Linked DNA regions of Macaca mulatta. The protein of the gene in region 2 interacts with the protein of the main gene of each other region in a pairwise test. Links are inferred from orthologs where the notes say so. Each region holds a gene or a part of one and is shown on either strand. Other genes may lie near its edges.

Region 1 (10,434 bases), on a different chromosome or scaffold from region 2:
GTTCAAGACCAGCCTAAACAACGTGGTGAAACCCCGTCTCTACAAAAAATTAGCTGTTCATAGTAGTGCACACCCGTAGTCTCAGCTATAGGGAGGGAGGCGGAGGTGGGAGGATCATCTGAGCCCGAGGAGGTCAAGGCTGCAGTGAGCCGAGATTTTGCAACTGCACTCTATCCTGAGCTACACAGTGAGACCCTGTCTCAAAAAAAATGAAGGCCAGGTGCAGTGGCTCACACCTATAATCCCAGCACTTTGGGAGGCCCAGGTGGGCGGATCACTGGAGGCCAGGAGTCTGAGATCAGCCTGAGCAACATAGTGAAACCTCGTCTCTATTAAAAATACAAAAATTAGCCAGTTGTAGTGGTGCACACCTGTAATCCCAGCTACTCGGGAGGCTGGGGCTGGAAAATTGCCTGAACCCAGGAGGCGGAGGCTTCAGTGAGCCGAGATCACGCCACTGCACTCCAGCCTGGGAGACAGAGCAAGACTCAAAAGAATTTAAAAGAGTGCACAGTTTTTTACTAACATGATGGCAGTGGTGCAGGTCGGGCCACAGGAGTCATGTTGACCTATTTTAAGTTTGAGATCTCCATTTGTTTATTCAAATGGTTGTATCTTATGTCTGGGGTTTGGGCTGCAGATAAAAATGTGGAAGTCATCAGTGATGCTATTTAGAGAATCTGTGACGTCTGGAGAGAACAGGAAGCCCAGAGTGTACTTGGGCAGGCTGCTATCTTGGGAGAGCATGTGGGATTAGATCCTTAGGTTTGGGTTTAGGGGAGCCACTGTGGGGGTAGTGTGAAAATATCCGGGTTGGAAACTTCTGAGCGTTCACCAGGAGCCAGAGGAAATATCTGGCTCTTCATGAAGTTGGTATCTTGAAAAAAACTGATGGTCTACTAACTCCAACCAGTCTCCCTATAAGTCACCCCAGCAAAGAGATCCAGGGTAGCCCTGTCCCAAAACACACACACACACCCTACCTACCTACTTGGTAAAGGTAGTGGTTCCCAGGATCGAAATTTCTGCTTCCAGACTCAGAGTAGGTTGAATGTCTTATTAGACCAGGGGTTGGCAAACTTCTCCTGCAAAGGGCTAGATGGTAACTATTTTAAGTTTTGGAAACCATAAGATCTCTGATGCAACTATGCAGATCTGCTGTTCTAGGCAAAAGTAGCCATCAACAATACATAAGTGAATGAGTATAAAACTGTGTTCAAATAAAATTTTATTTGCAAAATCAGGCAGCAGGCTAGAGTTGGCCATAGTTTGCAGACCCCTGTCTTAGGCTGTAAATTCTGTTGCACGTGACAGAAACCCAGAATAATGATGGCTTAAATTAGAAGTTTCTTTCTTTCTTAGATAGCAATATGGAAGTGGGCTGGTATGGTGGCTGTGCTCCCTGAAATTGACCAGAGACCCAGGCTCCTGCTGTCTTGTTGCTCTGCCATCCCATGTGTCGTTCTTGTCCTTATGGTCTGAGATGGCTGGATACTATGTCTGTATTACAGTTAGGAAGGTGGAAAAAAGGTATGTCCCTTTCTTTTCTTTTTTTTAAAAAAGAGTCTCACTCTGTCACCCAGGCTGAAGTGCAGTGGCATGATCTTGACTCACTGCAGCCTGTCTCCCAAATTCAAGCAATTCTCCTGCCTCAGCCTCCCAAGTAGCTGGGGTTACAGGTGTATGCCACCACACCTGACTAATTTTTGTATTTTTAGTAGAGATGGGGTTTCACCATGTTGGCCAGGCTAGTCTCAAACTCCTGACCTCAGGTGATCCACCAGCCTCAGCCTCACAGAGTGCTGGGATTACAGGTGTAAGCCACTGTGCCCCGCCGTCCCTTTCTTAAGCTTGAGTGTTCTACCCAGGAATTTAGCCAGAATCAGTCACATGGCTACATCTAGCTGCGAAGGAATCTGGGAAATGTAGTCTTTTCAGCTACCATGTGCCTAGCTAAAAACTGAGAGACAGTGATCAGTCTACCACATCCACCTCACCTGGGCTTTAAAAACATCCCTCAACATAAACAGAGTCTATAAGTATTATATGCAGGGCATTGACCATTGTCTGCAAGTGCAGGGCAGGTAACTAAGGGGGTAAAACTGGCCTGATGGGACTCATCTCCAGTTGAGGATGACACCCACTGTTCCCCTCCAGCCTGTTGTAGCTTCTGCCCTGCCCCTGCTGACAATGTCACCCTAGGTTGGGCCTTTCAAGAGAGCTGAAAATAGGATCTTAATGGGAAATCTCCCAGTGTTGGCCAAATAAAATCCGAAACAGAAGGTATCTCTGTTTGATTCCAAACCAGTTTCCCCACAAAGCAAGGCCAACTCTGGCCTGAGTTCCCCCACCTGCCCACACCCTTATGTTCTCTGGAAATTCCCACTCAAAAGCCAGAGCTCCCTGTTTAGACATTTTAATATGGATGTTTTCTGTTTTTAGATACTATTCCTGTTAGCTTATTCATACCATTTCACCTACACATATGAAAAAATATTTCATGACCAGAATGATATACAAAATTATTTAAATGAGACATAAATTATCGGGGGACTAGTGCCATCTAGTGCCATGGCCCCTCTGAGTGAGGTTGGCAGGGGGTGGGAAAGAGACACAAGGACTCCAATTGCCACCCCACTCAATTGGGGTCCAGCTCCCAACTGTGCTGCCCCATCCCCAAAAGCCCAAGTTGCTCCACATCTGGAACTCATCTGGTGGCATTACAGGCCAGCAACACCTCACCTTCCCTGCCCCCATTCAGGCAAAGGTCCGGGGCATTTTGCTTCCATTGCCCATGGCATCCATCTGGGAAGAATGAAGGGTGATGACACAGTCTGCAGCTAGGTGTTTAACTGGGAATAAGGGAGACACAAACCATTTCTCTCCCGCACTCCATTCCCATTTTTTTTTTTAACGAAAGATCTCGTTATTGTCTGATTTCACTGTCTCACGAAGGCCCTGTGTCCTCCAAAGACTGAAGCTCTAAATGAGAATCTTCTGGGTCCTCTTTATTAGGAGCCCTCTGCCTTCCCAGGGGAGGGAAGCAAATCCCTCAGGGCCCCCGGAATTCCTGCACCCCGTATCATGGGTGAGTCCTACTGGCCACAGAGCCACCTGTCACCACGGAGACGCTTAAGCTGCACTCAGAGCTCCCCTCGGGCATGCCGAATGTAGTGTTGATGCAGCCCTGCTTCCTGAGCAAAGTCCTGACCGCACTCTGTACAGGCGAAGGTGCCAGGAGGGGCACGGGCCTCATGCATCTGGCGGTGCCGCCTCAGAGAAGCAGCCTGCCCAAAGGTCTTGCCACAGTCAGGACAAGGGAAGGTGGGCTGGGCAGTAGTGGTTGCAACCAGTGGGGTGGGCTTGGCGGCTGGACCGTGGCTGCGCTGGTGGGTGATTAAGGCTTTGGAGGAGGGGAAGGAGCGGGCGCAGGTGAAGCAGATGAAGAGGACCCCCTGCAGCTTCTGGGCCACGAAGTCCGCTGGGTGCTCCCGCTTCATGTGACGCTCCTGGAACTTGGAATCTGCGAAGGTGATGAGGCAGCGGGTGCACTTCGGGGCCCCCAGGTGGCCTGAGAGATGTGCGGAGAGGTCAGGGGAGGCCGGCAGGAGTCTCCAGGACCTCTCCTGAACCCCAGAATCATACCAACAATTAACATTGAGTGTGCTATGTGCTCGGTTCTATGCTAATGCTGGACAACCAAACAGGAGAACTGTTCTTGGACCTATTTTATGGATGAGCAAACTGAGATTCAAAGAGATTAGGCAAGTTGCCCATAGTCAATGAGGCTAGGAAAGGAAATGGTGGAGTCAGGGTTGGAACCCAGAGAGTCAGCCTGCCCAACAGAGGGGTATGGTGATTACAGCACAGCCTTTGGAGCCAGACTGCCTGGGATTGAATCTCAGCTCCACCACTTCCTAGGCAATTACACCAGTTTCCTTATCTGGAAAATGGGCTAATAACAGTATCTACTCCATAGGACTGTTGGAAGGAATAAATGAATTGCTGTACAGTCATTTGCAATTATGACTAATGATAACAGAGAAATCCAGCCCGACATCCAGGATATGGCCTGGTACTCACAGCTAGACCTTGGTGTTCTGTTGAACATAAATTTTCACAAAATATCAAGGACAGACAAGGTCATGCTGTGACTAGAATGAATCAAGACAAGACTATATCATAATAATGTCTGAGCACAGACAAAATATGAATGCTGTCCAAGCAGAAAAATGACCAAACATCCTCCTATCCTGGCTCATGTGAATGTCTGCTGCTACTTTATCAGTCAGAGCTTGAGCCTTGCCTTCTTCCTTCCTCCTTCTGGATAAGATTTATTACGATAGCCAATCATAGAATTGCCCCTGCTTCCTGGTAGCATCCAATCCACAGCAAAACAATTTTGCTCGCACATTCCCCAAAATCACCACCCACAAGCCCAAATCCTATGTCGTTTTTACCACTCTTAGTGAGACACCCCACAGTTCCCCCATGGTGTGTGTTCTTCATTGCAGCGAGAAATAAACCCAACGTGTTCAACTGCACGTGTGTTTCCGGTAATCTCAGGCTCAAGGGCATTGAGACTACAGCTCTTGTTACAAATACCTCTCTCTGCCTCAGTTCCCAGTTTAAAGGGCCTATTATTAGAAGGACTGAATGAGATAATGAATGTTAAAATCGTTCATAATATGAGAATAAGTACACCTAGCTCATAATAAAACAGCAGGAGGTGTTGCTATTACATGGCAAACTGGCTACCATCATTAACCCCTGGCTTTCCCCTTTGCTGCAGTTAATCCCATAACCACCCTGTGAGGTGGATAGTGCCACCCTCTTTTGACAGTCAGGGAAACCAAGGCTCAAGTTACACTGAAAGTCTAGGACACAGGTGGGACCAGAATCTTGGGGCTTTTCTCCCAATAGAACCATTCCCAGCCACGTCTCCAACCCAAGCCTCTCTTGGAAGCCACCCTATCCCTCTGAATGCATAAGCGTTGCAATCCTGCTTATGTGGCCAGAGGAGGGTGAGTACTCTGGCCACATAAGCCGGTGTGAGGAGATGCACTTCCTGCTAGGGCAGCTCAGGGACCATTACAGCCCCTTCTCAACAGGCAAAACTCTGTGGCGCCTTGGACACTGAAGTGCCACAGAGATCTTCTTAGCATCAGCTCCTGCACCCCGCCCTCCTCTAGCCAGCCAGCCATGTGTACTCACAGATGTTGCCTCCTGGGCTCTGGGGACTTCTCTCCTTGGGTGAATCCTGCTGCTTCATGTTCTCTTCAGAGTTCGGGTCCTCCATGGTGCTGGGACCCTTCTAGTCAGGAGAGGAGCGTGCATGAGTGAAGCTGTTCATCTGTTACCAGTCTTAGAGGGCACCCTAAGTCTATGACCTTTGACATCGCCATAGGCTCTCCTTGCCTGCTTTTGACCCTTACGACATACTATCTCCTTGAACTCTAATTGATGGAGTTCTTGCTAAGAGAAGCTTCAAACCTCCCAAAAGACTTCCTGGGTTTGGGACTCAAGAGTCTTTTCACTGGTGTGACCTATGACCTGCTGCATCAAACTAACTCCCTGAACTCAGCGTGGGAGTCTTGATCTTTGACACCAGCGTCATCCCAGTCTCAAGTATCTTGGGGCAGGTAGTGATACCCACCCTTTATTCCAGTTCTTCCCGGGAAACATCCTCTGACATCCTGTGATTTTTGTTCCGCCCAGAGCCCCCGCCTCCCACGCGCACTAGCAGCTGCTATCCCGCTACCCTCAAGCGCTGCCTACAGGTTCCTGCTCCCAGGCCTCAGTTTTCCTCCGTACAGCAGAGGGCTGCCTTTCGCTGCGCCTGTCAGTCGCTAGCTACAGCCCCGCCACCCAGAGAGAAGTGGGATAGCCCACTCAGTCTCAGGGCCCCCGTGGTTTCCGCGCCCTTTTGCCAGATGAGCCTCTCGGAGCCGAGATCCCGGATTTGGCATCCGGCAGTAGTATAGTCGCACCAGTCCGGTCCTCAAAATAACGGGAGGGGTCCTTCTCTGCACTATGGTGCGTTATGATGACGTTCACCCTCCCGCGGCGTAGGTACCGAAGCTTTTTGCGCAAGTCTGGGTAGGTGCTCGTGGTGCGCAGGCGCGTTGACTCCTTCATTGTTCGAGGCCCCGAGGCCGCCGAACAGGGGCGTGAGCACTTCGGCCGTTCTGCGCAGGCGCTGCGAAGGGCTAGGTCTCTGCGGTAGCGCTTCCAAGACACACCCCCTTGGAAGAGGGAGTGACGTCAGGTTAAAGCTACTGGGACGCGTCCCGGCATCTTTAAATCACCGCGCCCTGGCCTCTTCGGCCTCCGTCCGCTGCGGCCGAGGGGTCGGGCTTCTCAGTTGCTGACCCACCGCCACCGACTGCGCTCATCCCGTGGGTCTGCTTTTTGCTCGGTTTGTGATGTGGAAGGGGGAAGGGGAAGGATAAAAATAACAATGCGTCCGAGGGAGGAGGGACTGGAAGCCAGATTTCTGAGGTTTTATTTTTATTTATTTATTTTTGAGAGAGTGTCTTGCTCTGTCGCCTGGGCTGGAGTGCGGTGGTGTGATCACTGCCCACTGCAGCCTGCAACTCCTGGGCTCAAGCGATCCTACCGCCGCAGCCTTCCGGGTAGCTGGGGCTACCGGCGCACGCCACCATGGCCCGGCTAAATTTTATTTTTTGTGGAGACGGAGACTCTACCAGAGAGTCCCACATGTTGGCCAGGCTGGTCTCGAATTCCTGGCCTCAAGCGATCCTCCCGCCTCGGCCTCCCAAAGCACTGGGATTACAGGCATGAGCCACCGCGCCTGATTTCAGAGTTTTTGAAGCAGAAAGGGAAACGTTTCCATCTAGAAAGAGGGCGGACAGACAGGGCGCCTGGAATCCCTGGGGAATAGGGTCTGGGCTCTGGATTTTTTAGGTCCTGGAGAGAGACACTCAAGAACCGAAGGGGACCGGGGGGAGGACTGAGGCCTTTGTTCCGAGTGGGGCGGCTAGGAAAGGAAAAGGCTAGGTGCTCCCTGACCCAGGTCTTCTCCACCCGTTGCTTTCCAGCCATGCCTCCGCCGCAGGGTGACGTGACCGCCTTGTTCCTGGGGCCTCCTGGCTTGGGGAAGTCCGCGCTGATCGCGGCGCTGTGCGACAAGGATGTGGAGACGCTCGAGGCCCCCGAGGGACGGCCGGACTCCGGGGTTCCCAGCCTAAGAGCTGCGGGCCCAGGCCTTTTTCTGGGCGAGCTGAGCTGCCCACCTGCAACGCCGGGGCCCTGGGCGGCTGAAGCCAACGTGCTGGTACTGGTGCTGCCCGGACCCGAGGGGAACGGGGAACCCTTGGCTGCAGCCCTGGGAGAGGCAGCGCGGGCCGCCCTGGCCCGAGGGACCCCGCTACTGGCTGTGCGGAACCTCCGTCCTGGGGATTCACAGACTGCGGCCCAGGCCCGTGATCAGACAGCAGCTCTGCTGAACAGCGCGGGGTTGGGAGCTGCGGATCTGTTTGTGCTACCGGCGAACTGCGGCAGCAGCGACGGCTGCGAGGAGCTAGAGCGCCTCCGGGCGGCGCTGCAGAGCCAGGCAGAAGCGCTGCGGAGGTGAGTGCTTTCTGGCTTGGTCCCTTAGTTGAGACCCTGCACACCTAGGTCCTATTTGAGATCCATGAGATCCCTTCCCCAGTGAGTTTGGGGCAAAAGCTTAGCTCTATTATTATTATTTTTTTCCCAAGGGACAGGGTCTCGCTACGTTGACTAGGTTGAATTTGAACTCCTGGCCTTAAGCAATAATCCCGCCTCAGCTTCCCAAAGTGCTAGGATTACAGGCGTGAACCACCACACCCGGCCTTTTTTTTTTTTTGAGACAGGGTCTCACTCTATCGCCCAGGCTGGAGTGCAGTGCTGCTATCCTAGCTCACTGAGGGCCTCCACCTCCTGGACTCAAATGATCCTCCTGCCTCAGCCTCCAGAGTAGCTAATAGGACAGGCTGCAAAACAGGATCTCACTGTTTCCCCAGGCTGGTCTTAAATTCTTGGCCTCAAGCCATGCCCCCACCCAGGCTTCCCAAAGCCCTAGGATTAAAAGGGAAAATCTTAACACTTTATCTGCTGGGGCCCTGAGGCTCCTTTTTCTAGGCCCTGCCCCAAGCAAGGTGATCCGCCCTCCCTGGCCTCCCAAAGTGCTGGGATTATAGGCGTGAGGCACTTTGCCCAGCCCCCTGGAAGATTTTACCTGAAAACTCTAATCCTTGAGCCCTCCCCACCATCAGTTTGGTTTTCAAGTGACCTAAAGCCACACCAGCAATGAGGATCTTGGGGCATCCTCATCCACCTCCTTTCTCCAGCTCCCTCTCGTTTCTGTGCCCACTTGCTGGCTACCTCCTGAATTTGCTCTACCACCTGCCAGCCTCCTCATTTTACAGACTTTAAAATGAGGCTCAGAGAGGGACAGTCCCTTGTCCTAGTACACTATCATCTTTTTTCCTTAGCCTCACCTGGTGGGGAGTCACCTTAGCCACTCCCCCTTGGTAAGAACTAGTAGATGAAATTTCTCCCCTCACTGACCCTCCTTAGGCCCAGCCTCTGAAAAGAGTGCCTTGGCGACCTTGTCTGTCTCAAATAGTGCTGGACTTGTGTTTAGGCCACAATACAGTTGCGATTCTTTGTTCTAGGCCCCACCTTCTCTGAGTTTTGTCCCACCCAGCACAGCCGACCCTTGGAAAAGCCCCGCCCCCAAATACTGTATTCCATGGAAGTCTTAGCCCAATCCCCATTTTAGGCTAGAGTGGGAAACCTGCCCTTAAGTCCACCTGTTCAATAATCAAGACTCCATTATTGCTTGAAGCCCCGCCCATATCATCATGGCCCCTCCCCATCTGGTTTCTGTTTGCCTTGCCGTCAGTCTGGCCTTTCCCTTTCCTATCCCTGCCCCATTCTGGGATCATTAGGAAAGCTCCGCCCTTGTCATTCATAGCCCAGTCCATGTCACCCAGCCCCTCTTCTGCCTTTGACCCTGACCCTTCTTGTCCCCACAGGCTCCTGCCCCCGGCCCAGGATGGCTTCGAGGTGCTGGGTGCAGCAGAGCTGGAGGCTGTGCGTGAGGCCTTTGAGACCGGCGGCCTGGAGGCTGCGCTGTCGTGGGTGCGCTCAGGCCTGGAGCGCCTGGGCAGCGCACGGCTAGACTTGGCCGTGGCCGGCAAGGCTGACGTGGGCCTTGTGGTGGACATGCTGCTTGGATTGGATCCTGGCGACCCAGGTGCTGCGCCTGCTTCGGCGCCCACGGGGCCCACTCCCTTCCCGGCCCCAGAGCGCCCGAATGTGGTGCTCTGGACTGTGCCTCTGGGTCCCACGGGCACTGCCACCACCGCGGCCGCAGCCTCTCACCCAACGCACTACGACGCCCTCATCCTCGTCACCCCTGGGGCCCCCACTGAGAAGGACTGGGCCCAGGTCCAGGCCTTGGTGCTACCAGATGCGCCTCTTGTCTGCGTGCGCACAGACGGCGAGGGCGAGGATCCGGAGTATTTGGGAGAAGGAAAGATGGAGAAACCCAACGGCGAGAGCTTAAAGAACGCAGGCGGAGGGGGATTGGAGAATGCACTCAGTAAGGGAAGGGAGAAATGTAGCGCTGGATCGCAGAAAGCAGGCAGCGGGGAAGGTCCTGAGAAAGCTGGCAGCGAGGGTTTGCAGCAGGTTGTCGGCATGAAGAAATCAGGTGGTGGCGACTCAGAGCGGGCCGCCGTGTTAAGCCCGGAGGACGAGACGTGGGAGGTGTTGGAGGAGGCACCGCCGCCAGTGTTCCCCCTACGGCCTGGTGGACTCCCAGGGCTATGCGAATGGCTGCGGCAAGCGCTCCCCCCAGCCCAGGCAGGGGCGCTGCTGCTGGCACTGCCACCAGCATCTCCCAGCGCTGCCCGAACCAAGGCTGCGGCGTTGCGGGCCGGGGCGTGGAGGCCAGCTCTGCTGGCTAGTCTGGCAGCGGCGGCGGCACCACTCCCAGGGCTGGGCTGGGCATGCGACGTGGCACTTCTGCGGGGTCAGCTGGCGGAGTGGCGACGGGGCCTGGGACTGGAACCCGCGGCACTGGCTCGACGTGAGCGTGCCCTGGGCCTGGCTCCTGGGGAGCTGGCAGCGCGCGCTCATTTCCCAGGCCCGGTGACGCGCGCCGAGGTCGAAGCAAGGCTGGGCGCCTGGGCGGGCGAGGGCACTGCTGGGGGCGCAGCACTGGGTGCTCTCTCCTTCCTGTGGCCTGCGGGTGGCGCAGCGGCGACAGGTGGCCTGGGCTACCGAGCGGCTCACGGCGTACTGCTGCAGGCTCTGGATGAGATGCGGGCTGATGCTGAGGCTGTACTGGCACCCCCTGAGTCTGCCCAGTGAGAGGTGGGAGGGGGCTTGAGGGTCCAGACTGTGGCAGGGGATGCCTGGGCTTAATCCTGGGTGCTT
Region 2 (7,233 bases):
AATAAAAAAAAAAGGTGGCGGGCACCTGTAGTACCAGGTACTCGGGAGGCTGAGGCAGGAGAATGGCGTGAACCCGGGAGGCGGAGCTTGCAGTGAACTGGAGTGCCCTCCAGCCTGGGCAACAGAGGGACACTCCGTCTGGGTGGGGTCGGGGGAGAGTTCAGCAAACAGTCTAGTCAGCAATTTTCAAACTTACTCCTGATCTTAATATCTTGGAGACTTAAGGGTGGGGTGGGGAGAGAGCTGGAGAACCACCCAGCACGTTAGGTGGATTCTTAAGATAAGGCATATTTAGGCGGGGCGTGGTGGCTCACGTTTGTAATCCCAGCACTTGGGGAGGCTGAGGCGGGCGGATCACTTAAGGTCAGGAGTTTGAGAACAGCCTGGCCAACATGGTGAAACCCCATCTCTACGAAAAATACAAAAAATTAGCTGGGCGTGGTGGCGTGCGCCTGTAATCTCAGCTACTCAGGAGGCTGAGACAGGAGAATCTCTTGAACCCGGGAGGCGGAGGTTATAGTGAGCCGAGATCGTGCCACCGCACTCCAGCCTGGCAGCAACAAGAGCGAGACTCCGTATCAGGAAAAAAAAAAAAAAAAAAGCAAGTTTGGGAAACATCAGCCTAGCTTATGTATAAAGGTAGTAATAGTTTCCTTGGCTGGACTAAAATATCTCCTCAACTTATAGCTAAATATCTCAAGTTGGTCACTTGGAAACCACGTTCCTATTCTGAGTTAAAGATGCATTTTTGGGTTCAAACAACTTCCGCATCAGTCTTGGTGGCCCCCATTCTATGACTCAAAGAATGACAGGTCGAAGTCCCAACCCAGATGCCTGGACCACCTCTTGGAGACTGACTCCAGCCCCATACCTGTAGGTGACGATGCAAGAGGTGGGCTGTAATCGGGGAGCAGTAGAGGGGCCGGGCCCAGGTGCTAGACAGGCCCACGGTGTGGTCCGAGTGCATGTGAGACAAGAAGAAGAGCCGTGCGGTGCCAGCCCGACGCAGGCTCCAGAAGTCCACTGCAATGGGCGTGTGGGGGATCAGGACCCCATTCATGGTGGCAGGGTTGTAGTCACCAGTGGGATCTTCTCCGCGGGGGCAGGGCTCCTGCGTGAGGCTTCCACAACGGCGCCCCGATAAAAGTCATGCTGGGGCAAGAACAGGGCCAGATACCCTAAGGGAAAGAGCCCAGCAGAGGAATAAGTCACTAGAGTGGGCAGAAAAAGGAAGTGACCGTGCCGGCGGGAGCCCAAATAGCGGAGGGCGCTCGACACTCCCAACCGCGCGGGAGCTGAGGCCAAGCCGGGCACTCAAAGCGCGCGCTGCTGGGAGGAGACAGGCCGAAGTAGCCGATTTCCGATTGCCCGCCGCAGCTCCACCAGAGGGAGCCGCGCGACTGCGCCTGGAGGGTGAGAGGTTGAGGGAAGGGCATCCTAAGGTCGGAGTCGGGACCAAGCTCAGCCCTCGCTCGCTGGGAGACCGGCAGCGCGCTTCTGTTTGGTCTCCTGACAAGGGGGCGGGACTTCCGCAGAAAGGAAGATTGGGCCTATCTGCGATGAGAACGGCTTGAAGGCGCAAGAAAAGCTGGAACTGGAGAGGGAGGGGTCTGCGGTCAGTCGGACGCGGCGCTGGAAATCCGGCGGAGGGCCTAGTGTTAGCGGGAGCGATCTGTGGGCGGGGCGAACGGCCTGCCGGGCGAGGGTAGGGCCTGAAGAGCCCAGGGTGGGGCTCGCGGGGTCGCGGAGGGCGTGGAAGTGTGTCAGGGCCAGCGTGCCGGCCCTACGGAAGCCGAGCCTGAGGCGAGATTTCGTCTTTAGTATTTTCACTGACTCATATTTCCTTTACTCAGGCTCCCACATCAAGACGAGAAGGAGCCCACGAGTTACCGTGGGAGCTGTGGGAGCTGCCCTGTGACTGTTAGGAAGATGCCGTACCTTGGCTCCGAGGACGTGGTGAAGGAGCTGAAGAAGGCTTTGTGTAATCCTCACATTCAAGCTGATAGGCTGCGCTACCGGAATGTCATCCAGCGAGTGATTAGGTATCACCTAACTCCCGTCGCGTGCTGTTTGCTCCCTTTGCAATCCCCATCAGGGCTCACTAGCCCCAGTCTCTCTGAAAGGGTAAATTAGCTTTCACACGTGGCAATTATATGGTTCGGTCTTCGTCCTGCTGCTTTGGAGTACCATCTCAGTCTCTCCTCTGCAGCATCTTTTACTTACCTGGGTAGTTTCCTCCATATCACAGGCTTGAACAATTACTGCTAACTCCTGGATCTATAATATAGCTAGTACAGACTTCTTTTTTTTAGCTTCAGACCCACGTATCCCACTGCCTGCTTGGCATTTCCACTTGCATGGTTTATCAAAAGTATGTCCGAAATAGCACGGACATTCTTCCGTCTTCCTCAAACCTGTTCTTCGGCTTACATTTGTGTTGATGAATGCCACCAGCAGCGACTATGCGTGGGAGCCAACCTTGAGGACACCCGATCCCCACTTCTCATGTCAGATGGTTTGAATTCATAATTCTAAATATCCACCCTCTCTTGTTTATTGGCGTTGTTGCTCTGGTCCAGGCCTTCATCACCAAAGCAATTGCAGCAGCTTACTAGTAGGCCACCTTGCCTCATTTGAGACAGAATTTTTCCATTATACAAATCTGAACATATAACTCTTGCCTACAGCTATGGTTCACAAACTTTACGGTGCACAAAAATCCCTGGGGGTGCTTTTTGTCATCCAGTCCAGGGATTGATTCTGATTTCAGTAAGGTAGGAGGGAACCCAGGAATCTGTATTTTTAATAAACATCTCAGCTGATTCCAGTAGGCGACCAGTTTGAGAAACAATGAAGTCCAAACTTACCACAGCACCCAAGGAACAAGCTGTTAATTCAACTACCTACAGACTCAAAAAAATGTATGCCACTCCTGCTCATGTCTACATACCTCATACCTTCTGTTACATCGATTACATCTGCCTAGTGAGCTCCTGCTCATTCCGGTAAAGTGTTACTTCCTCTGTGAAGAAACATTTTCTGACTTCCTGCCGGTGTTAGACCTCTGAATCCCCTCTGCGCCTTGTACAATACTTCTATTTAAATACTTATCAATCATACCATAATTAACGGTATTTTTATCTGGCTCATTAATAGATTTGAAGTTCCTAGAGGTCTGAGACCACGCCTTCTTCAAGATTATGTCCCAAGAGCATGTCCCTGGATGTAAAAGTTGAATTTCACCAAAGTACTAGGGATTCAATAAGTGTCTGTTGAGGCTGGGCACGGTGGCTCACGCCTGTAATCCCAGCACTTTGGGAGGCCAAGACGGGTGCATCACCTGCAGTCAGGAGTTCGAGACCAGCCTGGTCAACATGGCAAAACCCCGTCTCTACTAAAAATACAAAAATTTAGCCAAGCATGGTGGCACGCACCTGTGGTCCCAGCTACTCAGGAGGCTGAGGCAGGAGAATCACTTGAACCTGGGAGGCGGAAGTTGTAATGAGCCGAGATTGTGCCACTGCACTCTAGCCTGGGTAACAGAGCAAGACTCCATCTCAAAAATAATAATAAGTGTTTGTTGAATGAATAGAAGAAGAATGTTTATTGCAGGCCTATGGTATGAAGTACTGTGTGATATAATAGACAAGGTAATCCTGGCTGCTACCCTCTTAAGAGATCACAAGCTAGTTGGGTAACCAGGAGATATGTAAGTAAAACTCCCTCCATTGTTAGTTGGGGATTTTGCATTTTACTTCTTTCTGTCATGTGCGTTGGTTTCAGGTACATGACTCAGGGTTTGGACATGTCTGGTGTTTTTATGGAAATGGTGAAGGCCAGTGCCACTGTAGATATTGTCCAGAAGAAGTTGGTTTATCTGTACATGTGCACATATGCTCCCCTGAAACCAGATCTGGCTCTCCTGGCCATCAATACGCTGTGCAAAGACTGCTCAGACCCCAATCCAATGGTGCGAGGGCTGGCGTTACGGAGCATGTGTAGCCTCAGGTGAGTACCGTCTTCTCTGTCTGGTCCTAAATGGCTGATGACTTCAAGAGATCACGCAGTAGGTTTTTAAAGAGGATAATTTATTTGAGCTCCTTAATACTGGGGAAAACATTATTGTACCCTGAACTTAGATTTTCAGCCACTGCTTTGGCTTAATAACCTGTATCATATAATTTTATTACAGGGAGTTTTTGATTCTCACTCTAAGTAAAATAGTCCTCAATTTTGGTTAGATATTCCTAAACAATTATGTGTATATATTTTTTTGCTGCCTGTGCATCATTATTCCAAATGAAAAGTCAAATTAGGCTGGGCACAGTGGCTCATGCCTGTAGTCCCAGCACTTTGGGAGGCTGAGACAGGAAGACTGCTTGAGCTCAGGAATTCGAGACCAGCTGGGCAAGATGGTGAGACCCTGTATCTACAAAAAATTAAATGGGCATAGTGACACGCACCTGTAGTCTCAGCTACTAGCTAGCAAGGCTGAGGCAGGAGGATGGCTTGGGCCCAGGAATTAGAGGCAGCGGTGTCCTATGATTGGGCCACTGCACTGCAGCCTGGGTGACAAAGTGAGACCCCATCTTGAAAAAAACAAGAGAAAAACAAAAACATCAAATTATGGCTTTTTAAGCTTGATAGAGGCTTTCTGCAATTGTTCATGATCTGATGGGTGTAGCATCTACTAAACTCTGTTAGGTGAACAGGGTTTGATATATGTCAAAATTAGTATTTCCGAATCTGGCTGACTCCAGGATGTGTTGCTTAGGATGCCTGGTGTGCAGGAGTATATACAACAGCCTATTCTCAATGGTCTGCGGGATAAGGCTTCGTATGTCAGGAGAGTGGCAGTCCTTGGATGTGCCAAGATGCATAATCTTCATGGAGACTCTGAAGTAGGTAAGTTCAGTGTAATCCATCATGGTCAATGTGCCTCTATTATGTATAACTTTATAAAAGATTATGTAGCTTTGGTAGAAAATAATAATGTGGCCCCAGTTCTGTACATATCTCTTTAAGTAGGATGCAGGGCTTGGTATCTTCTGGAGATGAGAAGTCCTTTCTCTCGGGCCCCAGTGAGATCCTTTGTATTAGCTGCTTAAAACAGTCTAGACATGGCAGTTTTTTTTTTTTGCCTTGCACTTTAGTATGGCCTTTGTCATTTTTGTAGCAGAGAAGTTCAACTTTGTCTACTTGGAGCTATTACTCTGGCTACATCCCTGTTACTCTGAAGCTTTTCTTTTTTATCTAAGAACTTTGTTCTTTTTTATAGATGGTGCCCTGGTAAATGAATTATACAGTTTGCTGCGTGACCAGGATCCAATTGTAGTTGTGAACTGCTTGAGGTCTCTAGAGGAAATTCTGAAACTGGAAGGAGGCGTTGTCATCAATAAGCCCATTGCTCACCATCTCTTAAATCGGTTTGGATGCCTCAGTGCTCTTTTTATTATGAGATCTGCGTCCTTGTGGGATCTTGTTGATGTATTGAACAACTTATGTGAAGTAGAAAAGAAAGTTAACCATTATTATTATTATTTGAGACAGAGTGTTGCTCTTGTTGTCCAAGCCAGAGTGCAACGGCACTATCTTGGCTTAGCGCAACCTCCGCCTCCTGGCTTTAAGCAGTTCTCCTGCTTCAGCCTCCTGAGTAGCTGGGATTATAGGCATGCACCACCATGCCCGGCTAATTTTGTATTTTTAGCGGAGACAGGGTTTCTCCCTGTTGGTCAGGCTAGTCCCAAACTTCCGACCTCAGGAGATCTGCCCACCTTGGCCTCCGAAAGTGCTGGGATTACAGGCGTGAGCCACCGTGCCCAGCCAGTTAACCACTATTAACTCCCTCACATTTCACTAAGAGAATTTCTTTTATTTGCCTTAGTTTCCCTTATTGATATAGGGAAATAGAAATATACTGTGGGAATAGGTTCTGCCCTTCTCTAGTCATTATGTCCCCCAAAGTAAGCCATTTATAGTGTCTTAAAATGTAGGGAACCTGGACCCAGTGTATGCTGATCATGTCTTTGGTCTTAGGTGAGTGTGCATTTGTATTAACAGCTCATCTTGGAATTTTAAGCCTTTTTTGTGTAAACTTTTTTTTTTTTTTTTTTTTTTTGAGACAGAGTCTTGCTCTGTCGCCCAGGCTGGGGTGCAGTGGCCGGATCTCAGCTCACTGCAAGCTCCGCCTCCCGGGTTTAGACCATTCTCCTGCCTCAGCCTCCCGAGTAGCTGGGACTACAGGCGCCCGCCACCTCGCCTGGCTAGTTTTTTGTATTTTTTAGTAGAGACGGGGTTTCACCGTGTTAGCCAGGATGGTCTCGATCTCCTGACCTCGTGATCCGCCCGTCTCGGCCTCCCAAAGTGCTGGGATTACAGGCTTGAGCCACCGCGCCCGGCATAAACTTTAAATAGTACATGAAAAGAATGATTTAATTATGGCACAGCCTATTTTTAAGAATTCTCCCTTTGTTATGATGAACAACCAACTGGTCATATGACAGTGGCATGGAAATGGCCCTAATTTTGTTGCTAAAATAGCTCTTTTGTTTTCTTTTTTGGATAGAATGTCAAAACTGGACCAATGGGGCCAGGCTGAGGTATTGAACTTTCTGCTACGCTACCAACCCCGCAGTGAGGAAGAACTATTTGACATTCTCAATCTGTTGGATAGTTTTCTCAAGAGCAGTAGCCCAGGTGTGGTGATGGGAGCTACCAAACTTTTTCTGATCTTGGCAAAAAAGTTTCCCCATGTACAAACAGATGTGCTTGTGCGGGTCAAGGGACCTTTGCTAGCTGCCTGTTCTTCGGAGAGCCGTGAGCTCTGTTTTGTTGCTCTTTGTCATGTACGCCAGATCTTGCATAGTTTGCCAGGTCACTTTAGCAGCCACTACAAAAAGTTTTTTTGCTCCTACTCGGAGCCCCACTACATCAAACTACAGAAAGTGGAGGTGCTGTGTGAGCTGGTGAACGATGAGAATGTGCAGCAGGTGCTAGAGGAGCTTCGAGGGTACTGCACGGATGTGTCTGCGGACTTTGCACAGGCTGCCATCTTTGCCATAGGTAGGTGTCTGCTGCTTTTCCTTCTTGAGAGACCAGCCAGCGAGAAAGCTGTGGTTAAGAGGAACCATAGAGAGCAAAGGGCATGAATCTTGCTTCAGAAGCGAAGTACTATGCACTAAATAATTGGGTCAGTGACTACAAACAAGGGGGAAGAGACTTGTTTTTTTTTTC

The links.
Region 1: the proteins of AP4B1 (region 2) and ZNF576 interact in binary tests that used the Homo sapiens proteins (3 or more experiments, as listed by UniProt). The two-hybrid records come from large-scale screens. The link is inferred for Macaca mulatta from reciprocal best matches to the Homo sapiens genes AP4B1 and ZNF576.

The regions. Positions count from the first base shown.
Region 1 is NC_133424.1:56,008,933-56,019,366, reverse strand, and holds ZNF576 (zinc finger protein 576), read right to left. Parts: upstream 5,921-10,434; 5' UTR 5,815-5,920; intron 5,784-5,814; exon of another isoform or gene 5,657-5,783; intron 5,315-5,656; exon of another isoform or gene 5,312-5,314; 5' UTR 5,300-5,311; coding exon 5,215-5,299; intron 3,572-5,214; coding exon 3,144-3,571; 3' UTR 1,990-3,143; downstream 1-1,989. Other genes in the region: IRGQ (immunity-related GTPase family Q protein), read left to right, coding at 7,064-7,593, 9,027-10,368. UniProt on the Homo sapiens protein: May be involved in transcriptional regulation.
Region 2 is NC_133406.1:126,344,742-126,351,974, forward strand, and holds the start of AP4B1 (AP-4 complex subunit beta-1), read left to right. Parts: upstream 1-1,281; 5' UTR 1,282-1,413; exon of another isoform or gene 1,414-1,705; intron 1,706-1,853; 5' UTR 1,854-1,929; coding exon 1,930-2,042; intron 2,043-3,783; coding exon 3,784-4,008; intron 4,009-4,774; coding exon 4,775-4,905; intron 4,906-5,278; coding exon 5,279-5,426; intron 5,427-6,565; coding exon 6,566-7,062; intron 7,063-7,233. Other genes in the region: DCLRE1B (5' exonuclease Apollo), read right to left, coding at 872-1,060.